2 linked regions of the Yarrowia lipolytica genome follow. Each later gene encodes a partner of the first gene's protein in a complex. Links are inferred from orthologs where the notes say so. Each region holds a gene or a part of one and is shown in the gene's direction. Other genes may lie near its edges. The genes, in order: YALI1_D33640g and YALI1_D26316g.

Region 1 (8,300 bases):
ATTATTGCCAACAAGCAGGTTATTGGCTCCGGGGAGGAATTGGACCGATCTCAGCTGGATCCCAGAATGTACATTTCCGAGTACATTCAGGAGGCCGATCTTCCTAAGTTGGACCTGGACAGGGAGATGGACAGCTTCAGCCAGAAGCGGTCAACTCAGAAATCCTCCCCCAAAAACTCCACTAATAAGACACTGTCTTCTACCGTGAAGAACCCTCTCTTGGAACTCACCTCCCCCTCTCCCGGATCTTCTCTTCTACTCACGCGCAAAAACGAGTCACTCTTCCTTGAAAGTGAATACGTTGTCGTGGAGAAGAGGCAGGTTGAAGTCAACACTTTGGCCGATGAGCTGGCACGCGAGCCAGACGAGAGACGTCCCAGTTCCGAGCGGCGCTTCTCATTGACTTACGGAGCCCCCACTGGAGCCATGGCTCGAGCCTTATCCATGGCGTCCGCCAGACTTTTGGGAGAGAAGAAGAACGGTGCTGGACACGGTTCTGGAAATGGTTCTAGAAATGGTTCTGGAAATGGTTCCGGAAACTGCGCCAGGCTGTCAGCAGGGGCAGCTCTTTCTGGAACTAGTTCTGGAACCTCTACGACCGGCAAATCGCCTCCTGTTCCTGCCACAACAACCCTATCTCTGTCGGAGCGCGAGATTGTCGAAACTCTCGAGGAAATCGCAGCCAAAGCCCGCTCAATTGCTCTCCTGGCAGATGTCAAGTATTCACAGATCCAGGACGACGTGGACAACCCAGACATGAATCTGCCTGACTCCGTCTCTTCCTCCATTGCAGAAGAAGCCATGCTCTTGTACGTCAAGACACTGTCTCTGCTGTCGCTCGCTATGGATCAAGCCGGAGCCTGGTGGTCCAATAACCACAAAGACAACAAGATGGTGTCTTCCCACTTCAATGAAATCATTCAGTGGACCCGAAGCGCTTTCAACGAGTCACTGGAGCGGGCCGAAACGGTGAAAAAGAAGGTCTCCTCAGGAACTACACACACCACGGCCGAAAAGTTGATTTTCGACCGCGCCCTGGAAATGTCACGGGACGCAGCTGTTCAGGAGATCTCCGGCGACTTCACTGGCTGCGAGTCGGCCTACACCACGTCCATTTGGATGCTGGAGGCGCTTCTGGAGGATGACGAAGATGGACTTGGCGAGGAGGATCGCAGAATTGTGGAGCGGTTCATTAGTAGTATTACTAAACGGTTGGTGATACTGAGGGGTCAGCAGGAGTAATTAGTTCTATGTGGGGGCTGCGAAGACATTGGTAGCAGTGACGTCAGTGGTGACAGAGACGACAATGGTAGCAGCGCCGACAGTGGTAGCAACAGCGCCGGCAACGGCAACACGACAAACTAACATAGGTATATTTATAGTGACTAACAGATTTGAGTTGACATATTCGGACGTATGGAGCAGGAGGTGGGCTGATTTGATGTTTTGAGATTGCCAGAAAACTGCTTTGGTGAGGCCAAATTAAAACTCTTGTATGGTGGAAGTTGTTGGTCATGTTTTTCTTTTTTTCTTTTTGAAGAATCTTGACTATCAAATACCCGTTGAAATTTCTTTTTGATTTTTGATTTTTGATTTATTTTTGATTTTTGATTTATTTTTTTTTTTTTATTTTTTATTTATTTCATTTATTTACATTTATTTACATTTATTTACATTTTTTTACATTTAATTTACATTTTATTTATTCATATTTATTCATATTTATTCATATTTATTCATATTTAATTCATATTTTATTTATATTTATTTATATTTTTTTATATTTATTATTTTATTTATTTATTTTTGATTTACGGACATGTGGCATCCTCATTCTGCTTATATTGGGATTTGAGACGGGAATCAGGATATGATGGATAGGAGTTGGCAATAAACTAATTATACGGAATTGATTCTCTTGACGCAATTATTTGATTCCCGTTGTATTTGTTTTATTCCGATATATATCCATCAGTCTAGAACGACATGTATTCTCCACCCCCTTCAACATAAAATGTAAGTCGAGAGTTGCACAAGTGAGAAGGTGGTTTGTGTAAACATGAGCTTTTGTGGACATGTATTTCACCGATTAAACTTGGATTATTTTGGTCGGTGAAGTATTCGGGATTTCAGATCAGATGAAATCTTTCTGGTTTGTTATGAGGCTTCATGCTAGTTGAACTACAATTATATAGTTGAGAGTCTAGTTAACCCAAGTATAGTCTCATGGATTTCGGTTCGAGAAGATAATTCCATTCCTGAAACAATTCAGAATAGTATAACCCACATCTTCTCTCAGAATCAACATGGCAAAACCGTCATACCACTGCTGAACATGCCTGCTCCCACAATCCAAGCACGTGAAAGTGTTGCTGTTCGAATTTCCACCTCCGGTTATTCATTCCTCAACTATACCCTAACAAAACCAACTCTTTTGGTTGGTACCCCAAACAGATTTTTGTTCTCGGAAGCCTTGTGCACCCTTGTACAATTGGTTCGGATAGAACAGGATCTGTTCTGTTTGTTGTTGACTACTACGATTCGGATTATTGCATCACTGCAAGACCTTGTAATACTACTGGGTACTCCACTAACATTCCTCATCTGCCCAACTCGGTCAACTTCTCGAAAGCCAGGGCAAAATGGTCCCGCCACAGCTCCTCAGATACGGCGTACTGATCGACCCAGAAACGGAAATTGGCATCCTCAATCAGACTCATGTCCGAGGGCATCATCACCTGACCGGTGCTGTTGACGTACTGCTTCCGTCCAGTAGGCGAGTCCACCAGAGTCCAAACGTTGCCTAACAACAACTTGTAGAACTCGTTGTCACACTTGGCTGGATTAGAAGTCCACGGACCATCGAAGCCGGACCGATGAGGGTGCAATCGGCCTAGCGAATGAGCACCAATCAAAGCGACTGTTTCCTGGTCGTTAAACCCCATTCGGGAGAAGATAGTCCGCACGTGGGACGCATCTCCCCCGCCCAAGGGTAGACGGCCGTTCGGGGGCACCAGAAGGTCGTCCTCGTAGTCAACTCGGCCATCGCGCCACTTAATTGAGGGACCTTTGCACGCCTCAATTGAGACCACGCCGGCAAGAATCCATAGGTCCGCGTACGTGATCCAGGGGTGTTTGCGCTTGATGGGTTCTAGAGACAAACGGGCCACTTCAAGCCCCACGTTGCCCTCATCGCTGGCTTCAAGATGGTACCGCATGGTCGCACCATTGGACCCTCCCGTGCGTGTGTACTTGTCATAGGTGGCGCAAGAATGCCACGCCAGACGGATCAGCAGAGGGGCAAGAGTGCCGTCCTTAAACACGGTAGTGTTCTTCTGAGGAAGAATATTGTGGAGATCTGCCCGCACAAGATTGTAGTTTTTATTCCGAACAGACACCGCCAGTCGGGCAGACTCGCGAAACTGCACTCGTAAGTAGGCCGAATAGATGATGAATACCCGATGTTTCTGCTCGGACACACTGGGGTAGTTCATGCCGGGGAGATGTGAAGTTAAGTGGTGGTAGAGTGTTTCTGACGTGAAAGTTGTCGGTCAGAAGTCTGAAGTATCCTGCTATATAGAACTTCTCTGTGCCAGGTATCAAGAGACGGAGGAGGTATGTCTGGATGGGGGCTTGAAGCTATGGTAAGCCCTTGAGAAGATGAACAGAGGCAAGTGTGGGTTACGTCTTGAATGTCGTAGGAGGAGTCTCTGAGCGGTATCTGAGGTGTGCTGAGAAGGTGTATCACAGGTAGAGAATTAGAGCTGATGAAATAATGCTCGGGTTTCCTCTGGAATCAAAGACGTTTGTAAACTGGTATCACGTAAGTTATGTCGCTGGGTGAACAAAGTCGTTTTGGTCTTTGTGGCTACCGTAGGTATCTAATAAATACTCAGGCAGAGAACGGTATGTGTCACAGACTTCCGATGGTATCAGACGGTCTGTCGTAAGTTCAGTCCAGTACAGTAGTGAGTTTTCAAGATGTTGGAGCTGTTAGAGCTTTTGGATCTTTGTCAGAGATAGAGCACTTCTATCCGGTACTAGGCAGGTGACGGTGTGTGCTATTGTAGAAGTTGTTGCGACTGGAGCGACGATTGTGTCTAGGATTGGAAAAACAGCTGTATCGCTGATGGAAGGTTGAACTGCTGGCTGTTGAAGTTGGAGTAGAAGTTGGAGTAGGATAAAGTGATGATGGAGAAGAAGAGTTGAAATGAGACCCAAGTATCGAAATAAGGTGAAGAGAGGGGCGGTGAGGGGTGGTGAGGTGCAAAGGTGAGTTGCAGGATTATTTAGCGAGAATATAGACAACAGCACTGCGACTAAATCTCGTGATGTTTTTTTTGTAACTCTGCGATTCTGTTTGTGTCCAGAAACACGAAGTCTGGATCAAAAAAAAAAAAATCTCAAAGACATCCCGACCGCCGTTTCTTACTGGATCTGAAGCTCATCTCCTGTTTGTGGTTTCATGAAGATGTCTAATTTTAATGAATTTTTAATATTTTTAATATTAAAGATTTTAAATTGAGTTTTAATGTTGTTTTTTTTGAGAAATACAATTAATCTTGAATATATTGGTTTTGTGTCACTTGCCTAAATCTACATATAGCACCGTGTCCCCGTCCCTGTTCCCTTTATCATCCCTGTTTCTTATCTCCGCCCTTTCGTTACCACCGCCCTCTGTTCGTCACCACCGCTTAGTCACAAACTTTCTGCACCTAATTCCCACCTCCCAATTCCATCACCACCAACACACACATCTGTTGTTCACCACATAACAGATATCGCACTTCCAGCCAGTCACATGAACGCAATCGACAAACACTACACACAAAAGCCGACGGACAAGAATCTGTCGGCCAAATTCGACTCGATTCTGCCGGATACAGCGGTGTACCGGAAACTACAGGACCTCGAACGACGCATGGACGCGACCTTCACACGCAAGCGGCTGGACCTCGGCGACCTGCAGGCTCGTATGCTCAAGCAGAAGAAGACGTTGCGGCTGTTTGTTTCCAACACTGCGGCGCACCAGGCGTGGCAGATCGACCCGGACAACATGGGTGACTTCCAGCCCCCGTCGTGGACGCTCAACATTGAGGGAAACGTGGAGGGCGAGGACAAGCCGTTCTCTTCGTATTTTACTAGTATCTCCGTCGAGGTCAACGGCGAGATTGTTGAGTGGCATGAACCCCAGGGCGAGCGACCTGCGCCCACAGAGGAGCTGGCTGGCGACGTGACGGGCAAGGATGTAGGCTTCGACGTGTTCAAAATGACACGTGAGGGCTCGGGCCAGATCCCTGCGCGAATCGTGCTCCAACTCAAGGAGTACCCCGATCGAGCGCGTCTGTCGGAACCTCTGTCGGAAATTTTGGCGCTGGACGAGGCCTCCAAGTCGGACATCATCCTTGCTCTGTGGCAGTACATCAAGTTCCACGATCTGCAGCAGACCGAGGAGAAGCGAAACATCAAGTGTGATGAGCCGCTGAGACAGCTGTTTGGACGTAACACTGTAACTTTCCCGGAAATTATGGAGCTGATCACGCCCCATCTTCTACCCAAAGAACCCCTGGTCATCAACTACACCATTGACACAGACGTGGAGAACAACCTGGGCGAAACCGTGTTTGATTTGGCACTCGAGTTTGACGACGACATCAACGCTGAGATTGGAAAGATCACCAAGCACTGGTTCGACAACCAGGAGGATATTTTCAAGTTGGATGAGCACATCGCGCTGATTATTCAGCAGCTCAACAACACCAGACTGAAGAGGGAGTTCTTCAAGCAGTTTGCTGCCAACCCGTCGGACTTTCTGTCCAAATGGAACTCGTCACAGGCACGTGACCTCAAGTTGCTGTCTGGCGACCGAGGTTTCAACGAAGAGGAGGTCCGAAAGTCGTCCTTTTACACAGACGAGTTCATGGGCGAGTCTGCTCATCTGTTGTTGGCCCGACGGTAAAACACGGTGTTTAGGATTGTATTAATGGAAATAAATGTATTATATGGCTATAAGGAGTAAAGGAGTTGGTCGATTAATCAGTTGCAGGAGGACTGTTTTTTGCGGCCATACAGAGGTCATAGCAATGGTTCTGAGTGGAGAAGATGTGTTGAACCAGCCTGCTTTAAGAGCTGTCTAACGCCGGTGAAACGAACCGTCTGTCTAATAACGGTGGTTAGCTGAGTCTTTCGCTTTTGTGAGGTGGACAGCACACGTTTTTCACTCCAACCCAGGTCCACAAGTGTCATACTGCATGTTTTGATGGTGTCCCTGACAGGCGCTGCTTTTCGATGGCGGGTCAGTTGTTTCACTCGTCTGTGGGATAGGGTATTCAGGTTGTCAGAGAATGTAGCTCGATGGGAATCTGCGATGATACAAGAACCAAACTGGAGTTTAGCTGTGGTATCACGGGGGTGATGACGATTGACGATTTGACACGGCTGGGACAAGACCTTGATCGCAGTCCAACCAGAGCTCAGTTGTGGTGTTAGTCAACATGAAGACGAAATGATGTCACAGATGATATCTCTGGCACAGATACCTGTTCACAGTCACTGTCCCGCACGGGTCAGGCTTACAGTCGCCATCTTGCACACATGTCATACCCATAGCCATGATCTCACGCAAAGGTCGTGCCACTAGTACCTCTCTCATGGCTTCAGTCCACCCTGCGACACCATCCGCCCCGGCTCTGGCGACAGTATGAAACGAACTGAGCATGATCGAGTGAATGTTCAGGAGAAGGGACGTCTGAGAGGAGGACTGGAGCCGAGTACCTATTCATGTCCGCGTCTGAGGGTGGGTGCTCTTGGAGCTATGTAGCGGTATCTGTTTGTGTCTGAGGTGTATCCCTGGAAGCAGGCGATGACGTGGCGGCGTCTGTCGATGATTTTGTCATCAAATGATGCATATTATCGTCGCCCAAACCGTCAGTGGTTGAACTGTGGGCAAAACCATTGCTCAAATCGTCGGCGAAATCGTTCCGGTGGTTCTGTGGTATCTCTGTTTGGATCTCTGTTCATGTCTGTGTCTGAGTGATGTGGTAGAGTAGAGAAGAGTTTGACACTCTCCTTTCATTTGCGGCGGTTATTCCCCAGGAGATTTGGCCGTCCAATATTATTCTCAGGCATGTAATCATAACCAATAAATTATATAAAACAAATAAAACAAATAAAAATAAAATAAAAATAAAAATAAAAAAAAATTAAAAATAAAAATAAAAATAAAATAAAAATAAAAATCAATATCAAAATCAAAATAAAAATAAAAATCAAAATCAAATCAAAATCAAAATCAAAATCAAAATCAAAATCAAAATCAAAATCAAATCAAATCAAATCAAATCAAATCAAATCAAAACATCCGTTCCGCTAGACTACAAGTACCGCTTCAAAAAACCCTACCTCGGTCACTGGTACGATCCACTCTACCAACTGAAACACACCTTTCGATGAAGACAAAGGCCCAACTCCAGTCTCAACAAAACACCCTTTATCCTCCATCGGCCGAGTCGGCTCGGAGTCGGAAAAAAAATTGTGTTCGAAAATGAAAGGACAAGGACTCATACCAACAGACAATCAGCAAGTATCGAACAGGTACAACCAGCAGCTATGCACAAATATCCGATCCGGAACTTTGTCGACGGATAATTCCAATACCGCACTACAAGTAGGAGACTGATGTAGTATGTACATACTTGTACGACTCTTTTCCTCATAGTTTGGTATCAGAAACGAGCGCCCAATAGATGACGTCACGTGACATATTCTGGTTCCAAGCCGCCAACAAAGAGCAACGCTTGGTTCAAAAGGAACGACGGAGCAATTCCCAGAGTTTGGATGTATGTACTTGTGGTATGGTTCAACCCCCCCCCCCACGCCGCCCTCCTGAGGTTGAGTGTAGGATGCTCCACTTTCGACGGTTAAAAAGGCGTTCAAAACAACGTTCAAAACAACGTCAATAGCTGTCTGTCTACTCAATTGATATTTGTGGTCTTTTTTTCGTCCTTCTCCACTCGCTCTAATGTATTTCGTACCATGTTCTTCACCTCCTTCCTCCGGCTCCACTCCGACCGGAACAAACATCCGACTTTATGTATAGAGTTGGGTAAGGAAAGGGTGATTTGGTCTGTGATAGTGAGATACTATATTCTTACAGATTGCCGTGGCTTGAGAAACTTGAAGGGCAGGGTTGGTAACTTGGTGCGTTGTTTTTATCTTTTTTTTCTCTTTTTTTTCCGCTTTTTTTCCCTTTTCTTTGTATTTTCCGTTTTTCATTTATTTATTTTATTTTATGTTATTTT
Region 2 (9,232 bases), about 730 kb from region 1:
CTCCCCCGATGCGATACCACCATGGCCGCGACGACACACAAGGATCCATGGGAAGAGGCAATGAGAAAAGGACATGAGACGTGTCAATTGGACATTTTGAATTGCGAATTGTGCCACTGTCTTTTGTCTGCACCATAGTCGCCCCGTTGCACCCCTCCGGCCAGCGTCCGCCACCCCACACAAGGCAAATACTAACAACAGCAAACGAGGAGCTTGATGTCCTTGTTATCGGAGGTGGCCCCGGTGGATACGTCGCCGCCATCAAGGCCGCCCAGGCCGGCCTCAAGACCGGCTGTATCGAGAAGCGAGGCTCCCTCGGAGGAACCTGTCTCAACGTCGGATGTATCCCCTCCAAGTCTCTGCTCAACAACTCCCAGATGTACCACGCCATCAAAACCGACTCCGCCAACCGAGGAATCGAGGTCTCTGACGTCAAGATGAACATCGCCAAGCTGCAGGAGGCCAAGGAGACCTCCGTCAAGGGTCTCACCGGCGGTATCGAGATGCTGTTCAAGAAGAACAAGGTCAACTACTACAAGGGCGCCGGTTCTTTTGTGTCCGACTCCGAGGTCAAGGTCGACCCCATTGATGGCGGCGAGGCCGTCACCCTCAAGGCCAAGAACATCATCATTGCCACCGGCTCTGAGCCCACCCCCTTCCCCGGCATCACCATTGACGAGAAGAAGATTGTTTCCTCCACTGGTGCCCTTGCCCTCGAGGCCGTCCCCAAGAAGATGGTCATCATCGGAGGAGGTATCATTGGTCTCGAGATGGGCTCCGTCTGGTCCCGACTCGGCTCCGAGGTGACTGTTGTCGAGTTCCAGAACGCCATTGGCGCTGGTATGGACGACGAGATCGCCAAGGCCGCCCAGAAGATGCTCACCAAGCAGGGTATCAAGTTCAAGCTTGGCACCAAGGTGCTTTCCGGTGCCATTGAGGGCGACGGTGTCAAGGTCGAGGTCGAGAACGTCAAGAAGGGCGACAAGGAGACCCTTGATGCCGACGTTCTGCTCGTTGCCATTGGCCGACGACCCTACTCCGAGGGCTTGAACCTCGAGGCTGCCGGTGTCGAGAAGGACGACAAGGGCCGAATCATCATCGACCAGGAGTACCGAACCAACAAGTCCAACATCCGATGCATTGGTGACGTCACTTTCGGCCCCATGCTGGCCCACAAGGCCGAGGAGGAGGGAGTTGCTACCGCTGAGTACATTGCCACCGGTCACGGCCACGTTAACTACGCCGCCATCCCCTCTGTCATGTACACCCACCCTGAGGTTGCTTGGGTTGGACAGACTGAGCAGCAGGTCAAGGAGGCCGGCATCAAGTACAACGTCGGCAAGTTCCCCTTTGCCGCCAACTCTCGAGCCAAGACCAACCTCGACACCGAGGGTACCGTCAAGTTCATTGCTGACAAGGAGACTGACCGAATTCTCGGTATCCACATCATTGGCCCCAACGCCGGTGAGATGATCGCCGAGGGTGTTCTTGCCCTTGAGTACGGTGCTTCTTGCGAGGACATTGCTCGAACCTGCCACGCCCACCCCACTCTCTCCGAGGCTTTCAAGGAGGCCGCCATGGCCACTTACGACAAGGCCATCCACTTTTAAGCGCTTTTAGTGGTGCTTTTAGTAGTAGATAATAATGACTGAACTGTATGGTAGCGAGTGGCCAGGTCAGGTCGCAAGCCAACTTGTAGAGTACATGGCCGTAGGTGACGGGCGAACTAGAGCAAGTACAAGTAGATTTCATTTGGTCGTAGATCACAAAGTGCCAACTGGTAAAGCCGAAATGTTCTTGGATCAAGAGCTGATCTGGGGTGCACTATCAAGGTGTGTGAATGTCTAAAGAAACGGCTGAAGAAGTGCTTCCACTGATACTCCTCCGCGAAGTACGAATTCCAGCTGCACGAGTGTATAGTATCTTACTGTACATGTAGAACAGACGGCAGTCATATCGGATCAAGCATGACACAGTTAGGTGGAAGAAGCAACGAGGCATGATTGTGTTGTGTCTGAGTGTCAATGGGTTTGTCTTTGCTGCTTGTAGTGGATCATTAGACCAGTTGATCTGAGTTTGCGATTATCTTTCATGAATGGTGTTACTTGATATCTCTTCGCACCGTAGCTCTACACATCACAGTGTACATAGATGGACACTCGGAAATGTTGATAGCGCGACCGGAAAATTAGTAATACGATATGTTGCTGAAATGCTAGTAGGACTATAGACGGGTGTTATGGCATGTGTTGCAATAATGTACAGTACCTCTTTTCCGTCAAATGATCTCGTTTCCATCAATTGATCTCGTTTCCGTCAACTGCCCTTTTTCCCTCAAATCATCTCGTTTCCATCCCCTTCCGTTGCCTTGAATGACCATATTACATGCTGTTACAGTTCGGAGAAACCCGGAAGAAATGAAATTGCACTAGGAGCAAAAAAATTGCTGATATGCATGCAGTCCACGACGTGCATGCATAAAGTCTTTATGCAGTACATACTGTATATCGTGAATCAAGCCAGATGCAGGAATGTATCCTGTTATAGGACCAGCGTGGGGAGCAAAAAGTGATTTCTGGCAGGATCGAACTGCCGACGTTCTGCGTGTTAAGCAGATGCCATGACCAACTAGACCAAGAAACCCGGAATTATGTTAAAAAATGGCAGTGTTCGTCCATATCTGAAAACTGTTCCAAACCGGCGAATCATTAGAATAAAAAGAATCATTAGAATAAATTAAAAAAGCGCGAATGGACCAGCAAACACGAATATCATGCGCTCTTCTAAACAACCGAATCCGAATCCGATTTGCAGGTATAACACTGTTTTTAGGCCTCAAGTAGTTGTTGAAATGTAATTCCGTAAAATAAAAAAATAAAAAAATAAAAAAAATAAAAAAATGGGACAATATCTCAAGAAATTTTGAATGGTTTAAATAAGGCGTATTCCAGATGAAAACAAGATGAAAAAAGAATATAAAACTTCATTCGGTGATCTTCAAAATGTCTTCTGTTGTCCATCATCTATTTCGTGATACATTCCATCCTCCACTTGGTCAAAGCGTTGTGTGAGGTAAGGATTGCTGGTACTCCACATGCCGATATAGAATAAATGCAGAAGTAGTTATCTCTCGCACGGACAAGTAGTTGGATCAACTTCTTCAACTTCCCTGGTTCCTCGTGATCACTCTATTTCTATCTCTTAACAGTAACGCCGCTTGTAACATGGCTACAAGACCCTAGACTACATAGTTCATACGCCCTAAAAATACTCATAAATAATGCAATTTAACACTAAACTTGGTCCACAAGTTCCCGTTTCCAGTCTAACTTCTTCTCTTCATAAAGGCCCGCCCAATAACAGGTTCCAGAGCCTTTGGCAACCACTCGGAGGCGTTGCCCTTGAAGGCCCATCCCTCAATCACAGCGTCTTCGTTGCTGCTATCTTCGGAGTCCGTGGTTTCGGCCTCACTTTCTCCATACTGGTAGTGGTCAATCTCCATGTTGAAGATGGCCACCTTACCTCCGCTGAGGGCCACTCGCTCCACGTAGCCAGCAGCGGGCCACACGCTTCCCGATGTGCCGACTACGATAATCAAATCCACGTCTTCGTCCTCGAGAAACTCATCGGCAGTGTTCATGACCTTGAACGGCAACGATTCTCCAAACCACACCACTCCGGGTCTCAGCAGACCCTCTTTGCACTGAGGACATGTGGGCAGATCTTCGACGGGTATTCGGTGGCGCTGCAGCTGTGCCGAGTTGTAGTTGTCGGTGATACTTAGTGCCGGCGTTAGTGGGTCTGCAAAGTTGTCTTCGGTGGTGTATGAACAGAAGAAGGACGTGCATTTGAGAGCAAACAGGTCTCCATGAAGCTTCAAAAGTGCTTCTTGGGGATGCTCTGCGCGCGACGAGAGACCGTCAACGTTCTGCGTAAGTGTCAGAAACCGTCCGCGCAGTCTTCGGGCCAGTTCAGCCAGAGCATAGTGTCCCGGGTTGGGCTTGGCCTTCAAAGACATGTGTCTTCGGTGGGCGTAAAACTGCCATACCGTGGAGGGATCGTTGTGGAATGCCTCGGGCGTGGCAAGTTCAGCTGCGTCGTAGTTGCGCCAGATGCCTCCTTCTCCTCTAAAAGTAGGGAGGCCTGACGACTGAGAGAGGCCCGCGCCAACAAGAGCCAGGATCTTGCGGGACGACAAAAGATGTTTCTGGAACGATTCCAGGTCTGAAGAAAGCATGAGTCGAGATATTCTGAACACGGCTGATTTTTAATAAACTCGTACTGGCACGCTCTTTTGTGTCGGTTGTTCCGTGTGCTACCACTACTTGTAGTGGTGATGGTGATGTCTTACATGACTCCTCATGCATGAAATTTAAACCTGCGTAACATGTGTGGGGTGGAAAACACGGAGCAGACTATGAGAAACTGTTATAAGCCCGGTAAAAGATGCAACAAAGAGCCCCTGTTGCCAGGTTTTTTCTCAAGCTCCAAAATTTGCATTTCTGATGCCATTACAAATACCCGTTTAATACGACCCTTGCGTGGATCGAACACACGCTCCCAATCACACCCCATAGTTAGGCTCCCTTCTCCCAACCTTCAAACCTACAGTCGACACTTCGCGTAGACAACCTCCACCAACATGAATCAATCAATCGCGGACGCGATCGAAACGGCCCGGCCCGCGGTGATGAAGGCCGCCGCGGCCAACGCGCCCATTTCGGACCTGATTTCGCCGCTGTTTGACGGCATCTACACGATCGACAACGACATTGACAACAACAAGGTGTTTGAGGTGTTCCACTCGTTGCCGGACCGAAGTCTCACAACCTACTACAAGGTCATCAAGCGGCCTCTGTCGCTGACACAGATCAAGCGGTCGATGCCGCGGTACCGAAACGTGCAGAACTTCATTCACGACCTCGCCCAGATTACCTACAATGCTCGGCTGTTCAACATGAAGGGTTCCGGAATCTACAACGATGCAGTGTTTCTGGACGGCTACCTGAACAAGGCTATTGAGGTACTTCGAGAGACCAACAAGTTTTCCAACGATGACCTCACCTATCCTGTTATTGGTCCTCTTCCTGAGGGTTCCGATGTGGAGATGGAGTTTGGGTCCGATTCTTCCGAGGATGACTTGAGTGACGACTCGGACGATGACGACGTCGATGGACGACGGAAATCGAGACGAAAGTCTGTGCGAACACGAAAGAAGATGGACTCGGACTCGCAGCGAAGCCGTATGGATGACATGCCCCGAAAGCGAGGCCGGCCACCTATCGTTGATAAACCGCACGAATACCGAATCAAGGCCATCTTACGGGGCGTTCGAAAGGCCCGTGACGAACAGGGACTGGTGCGGTCATTCCCTTTCGAAAAGCTGCCTGAAAAGAGAGACTACCCGGAGTACTATCAGGAGATTGCCAAGCCCATCGCTCTGGACAACATCAAGAAGAACATCAAGCGACGCAAGTACGACACTGTGGAGGCGTTTCTCAATGATATGAACCTTATGTTTTCCAACGCGCGGCAGTTCAACGTGGAGGGTTCTCAGATTTACAACGACGCCATGATTCTGCAGCAAGAAATGATGTTGCTGGCCGACGAGGAGATGCGAAAACCTGACTCTACATACCAGGATCTGGCCTCGCGAAACAACAACAAAACATCACGCCTTCCCCTGGACAGTGTCCAGCATCGAGGTGACATCTACCGAGTGGGTGACTGGGTTCATATTCACAACATGAATGATCCCTCCAAACCCACCATTGGCCAAATCTTCCGAATCTGGCAGGCTCCCGACGGTCAGAAGTGGGTCAATGCATGCTGGTACTACCGGCCCGAACAGACCGTTCATCGAGTAGACAAGGTCTTCTACGAGAACGAGGTGGTCAAATCGGGCCAGTACAGAGACCATCTGGTGGACGAGATTCTGGAAAAGTGTTTTGTCATGTTCTTCACACGGTACCAGCGAGGTCGGCCCCAGGGCATTGGTGACAGAAAGGTGTACCTGTGTGAATCCCGATACAACGAGGTGGAAAAGACCTTTAACAAGATCCGAACTTGGAAGGCGTGTATCCCCGACGAGGTAGACTCTCAGGATTACGCCATGGACCTGTTTGAAAAGGTTCAGCCTCTGAGACGACTGCCCTCTCCCATCAAACACACTCTTGCTCCTGGAGCTCGAGAAGACGATCCTGTTCCTGAGGCGACCCTGGGCGTGGAGAATGCTCCTCCTGTTGTTGGAGCTGTTTATCGACGTCCTTTCGACCCCGCTGACCCCCCGGAGGAACCCACTCCTGCTGACGAGTACATAGAGCCTCCTCAGTTCCAGCGAACGAACAACACTGGTGACTACGCTTCCCCTCAGCCTCATGGAATGGGGGCCAAGCCTGCTTCTGGCCACCTGGCTCCTCGACCTGCTCCAGAACAGCCCGCTGTTCGAACTGTGGTTCCTGGGACCAACTCTGCCCTGCCACCTCATTACACCCCTGCTCCTCTGCAGCACATTCAGATGCAGGGTCCTGTTCCTGTACATGCGCAGCCTATTGGGCCTGTTGGCGAGCAGCAGATCTTTCAGGTGGTGGGTCCCCCCGTCAACTTCACGCTTCCTGAAGCTGTGCAGCAGCAGCTGAGTGCAGGATATGAGCTGGATCCCGAGACGAACGAGCCGTCCAAGGTTGCTCGATGGCCTACTAAAGAGAAAACCATGGCTGTGCAGTGGTTCATTTCGCCGCCTGTGCACTGCCCCGACACTTTTGAGCCCTGCAAAGACACGCACATGTACGGAAAGCTCAAGCTGTCCAAGTATGGAGAGCCTCCGAAGAAGATGCGTATTGTGCGAGTCGGGCACAGTGCAAAGTACTTGGCTTTCAAAGCCAAGAGGGCCGCAGAGAGTGCCAAGGGGGGTGCGAAGTAGAGTATTGGTGGTGGTACCAAGACTAGGGGACGATAGTGTTTATATTGTAATTTTATGAGATTAACGGTTGGTGTGAGCGATGGTTGTTTGAGTCGACAGCAAGCACAATCTGATTTGATCAGCCGCTCTTCACACAATCTTGGGGGTGGTTTGGCGCAGTGAGAACATGAAGGCGAGAACTGGGACTTACTTGTACGAGTAGCATGAGATGAGTGCAAATAGCTGGTACAATATGATTGAGACCAGTTGCGAATTACTCTAGATGCTCAAGACCATGAGTACGGTAAGTATGAGTACAGCGCATACATACAGTATGGTCACAAGTACATACTGCACTGTACCGGTAGTGCTGCAGTAGTACAATCACAGGTATCGTAGTTCATCTCTTTTCTGACATAGATTGCTTGCCCACAGCTTTTGTGCTCGACTCGTAGCTACAAGTACGAGCTTCTCGGGTACAAGTCACTTAGCCTCGGCTACAAATACTGTACCGGTAGTTGAACTAATGCGTCCAATACTCTTACCAACGGTGATATTCCCGTTCAGGAATACTGGCTGGATGCGTGATATACAAATAGGAAGGACGGCCCTCGGACTAGCGTGGATCTTGCACGTATTTCCTCTAGCTCCGGTTACTAATCACTAGCTACAGCTCCTCTAGCTCCGTTTATGGAATGTTGTACAGTAGTACCAAGATAGTCGGTGCCATGGAACACTGGCGGAACCCAACCGGAATGCTGGATTGTCTCTACTATAAGCACCGTGTAGAAGACAGACATGTTTGATATCAACGGCGAGATGACTGCGTATAGCACCGGTTTCATGTAGGACGGGTTTTGTGATAACCGATCACCAACACTCATGGCTAAGATTACATTACCACGAGAACTCGTATGCACTGTACAGGAGAAGTCCTACGGTACGATACTGTACCATAATGGCTGTTAACGACAAAGTGCAGTGGTACAAGTATCGTACATAACTACAGTAGTTGTATTTGCAGTAGGAGATGCTCAAAGTGGCAACCACTCTCTTCATAAAGTGCTCGTAACACTCATTTTACACCAAACCAGCCCCCGAACCTCCGTGGCCCCTCGATCATTGATTCCGTACGTTCTCATTTATTTAATCTTACCCAGCTCAGCCAACTCCGTTTCAGCTCATAATAAACGACCTCGTCCTCTGCATCTGCACCTCACTGCACCTCACTGCACCTCACTTTGTACGATGCAGACTGCAGGAGTGTCGGAAATGAGACGCCAGAACGTCACACTTCAGACGTCAACAAGTGACACCCGGGCCATCAGAACTGTTTCCAGCCAATCGCAGCCAATACGAGGACGGTATTCCCGTTTCGGAGCCCCAGATATGCCAGTCCACCGCATTTCGCCAAGACCAACAACAGTCTAAACACGCTACTGCATATGTGGCTAAATACGGCGCAACATGACGGGACAGGCCACACCAAAATAGACGCATCTATGCGTTTTTTTTCGGTGGTTTCAGGGAGCGCAGTCTTGGTGGCTCGCTAGGCTGAGTTCTAGTACAAGACCTAACCATCAAGTACAGGTACTTGAGTGCTCGCTGGTTAAAACTACTTAATACAGAGAATGCATACTACTTGTACTCTCACATTAGATGGTTAAATTAATCTGTTACTTTGTTTGGTTTTTCTAGAGGTATCAATTAGCTAAATACATCGCTATCAACGGCTACTCAAAAAAAGAAGCTTAGTTGGAGAAAATACCCCAGTACTGCTCGGCGGCAAAGGCACCGGGAGACTTCCAGTAGTCGTTGAAGGCGGTGAAGAGGATACAGTCGTTGCCAATGGCGGACTTGAGGGACTGGATGGCCTTGTTCTGGTTGTCCTTGGAGGGAACGGCAACACCGTTGGTTCCTCCGGAAGAGGGCCAGCCGGACTCGGCAATCATGACCTCCTTCTTACCGTTGCAGGCAGTCCAGACTCGCTGGGTCTGCTGAACAGCCCACTCGCCGGCGTCCTCAGCCTTGATGTGACCATCGAAGAAGGCGTGGGCGTTGACAGCCATGTAGTCGGAGGCGTCACAGAGCTCGGGGTTGTTGATAACAGCAATGAAGGTGTCGACGGAGACGACGGGTCCCTGGTAGCCGTAGTTTCGCAGCTTCTGTCGAGAAGAGTTGGTGATCTGGTTCATGGCAGAGGCGGTCATGGCGCCGTTGTTGACGAGCTCGTTACCGATGGAGACGGTGTGGACAACGTCCCAGCCGCCGTGGGCCTTGACGGCATCGGAGATGGCCTTGAGGGAGTTGTCAACGTCGTTGACGTCAAAG

The links.
Region 2: YALI1_D33640g (region 1) and YALI1_D26316g share a complex: the UniProt entries of both Schizosaccharomyces pombe proteins name them as parts of the RSC complex. The link is inferred for Yarrowia lipolytica from reciprocal best matches to the Schizosaccharomyces pombe genes ssr3 and rsc1.

What each region holds. Positions count from the first base shown.
Region 1 is NC_090773.1:3,360,399-3,368,698, reverse strand, and holds YALI1_D33640g (uncharacterized protein), read left to right. Parts: upstream 1-4,801; coding exon 4,802-5,959; downstream 5,960-8,300. Other genes in the region: YALI1_D33696g (uncharacterized protein), read left to right, coding at 1-1,242; YALI1_D33653g (uncharacterized protein), read right to left, coding at 2,601-3,494. UniProt on the Schizosaccharomyces pombe protein: Component of the chromatin structure remodeling complex (RSC), which is involved in transcription regulation and nucleosome positioning. Controls particularly membrane and organelle development genes.
Region 2 is NC_090773.1:2,627,001-2,636,232, reverse strand, and holds YALI1_D26316g (uncharacterized protein), read left to right. Parts: upstream 1-4,642; coding exon 4,643-6,922; downstream 6,923-9,232. Other genes in the region: YALI1_D26360g (uncharacterized protein), read left to right, coding at 202-1,610; YALI1_D26320g (uncharacterized protein), read right to left, coding at 3,326-4,237; YALI1_D26263g (uncharacterized protein), read right to left, coding at 8,653-9,232. UniProt on the Schizosaccharomyces pombe protein: Component of the chromatin structure remodeling complex (RSC), which is involved in transcription regulation and nucleosome positioning. Controls particularly membrane and organelle development genes.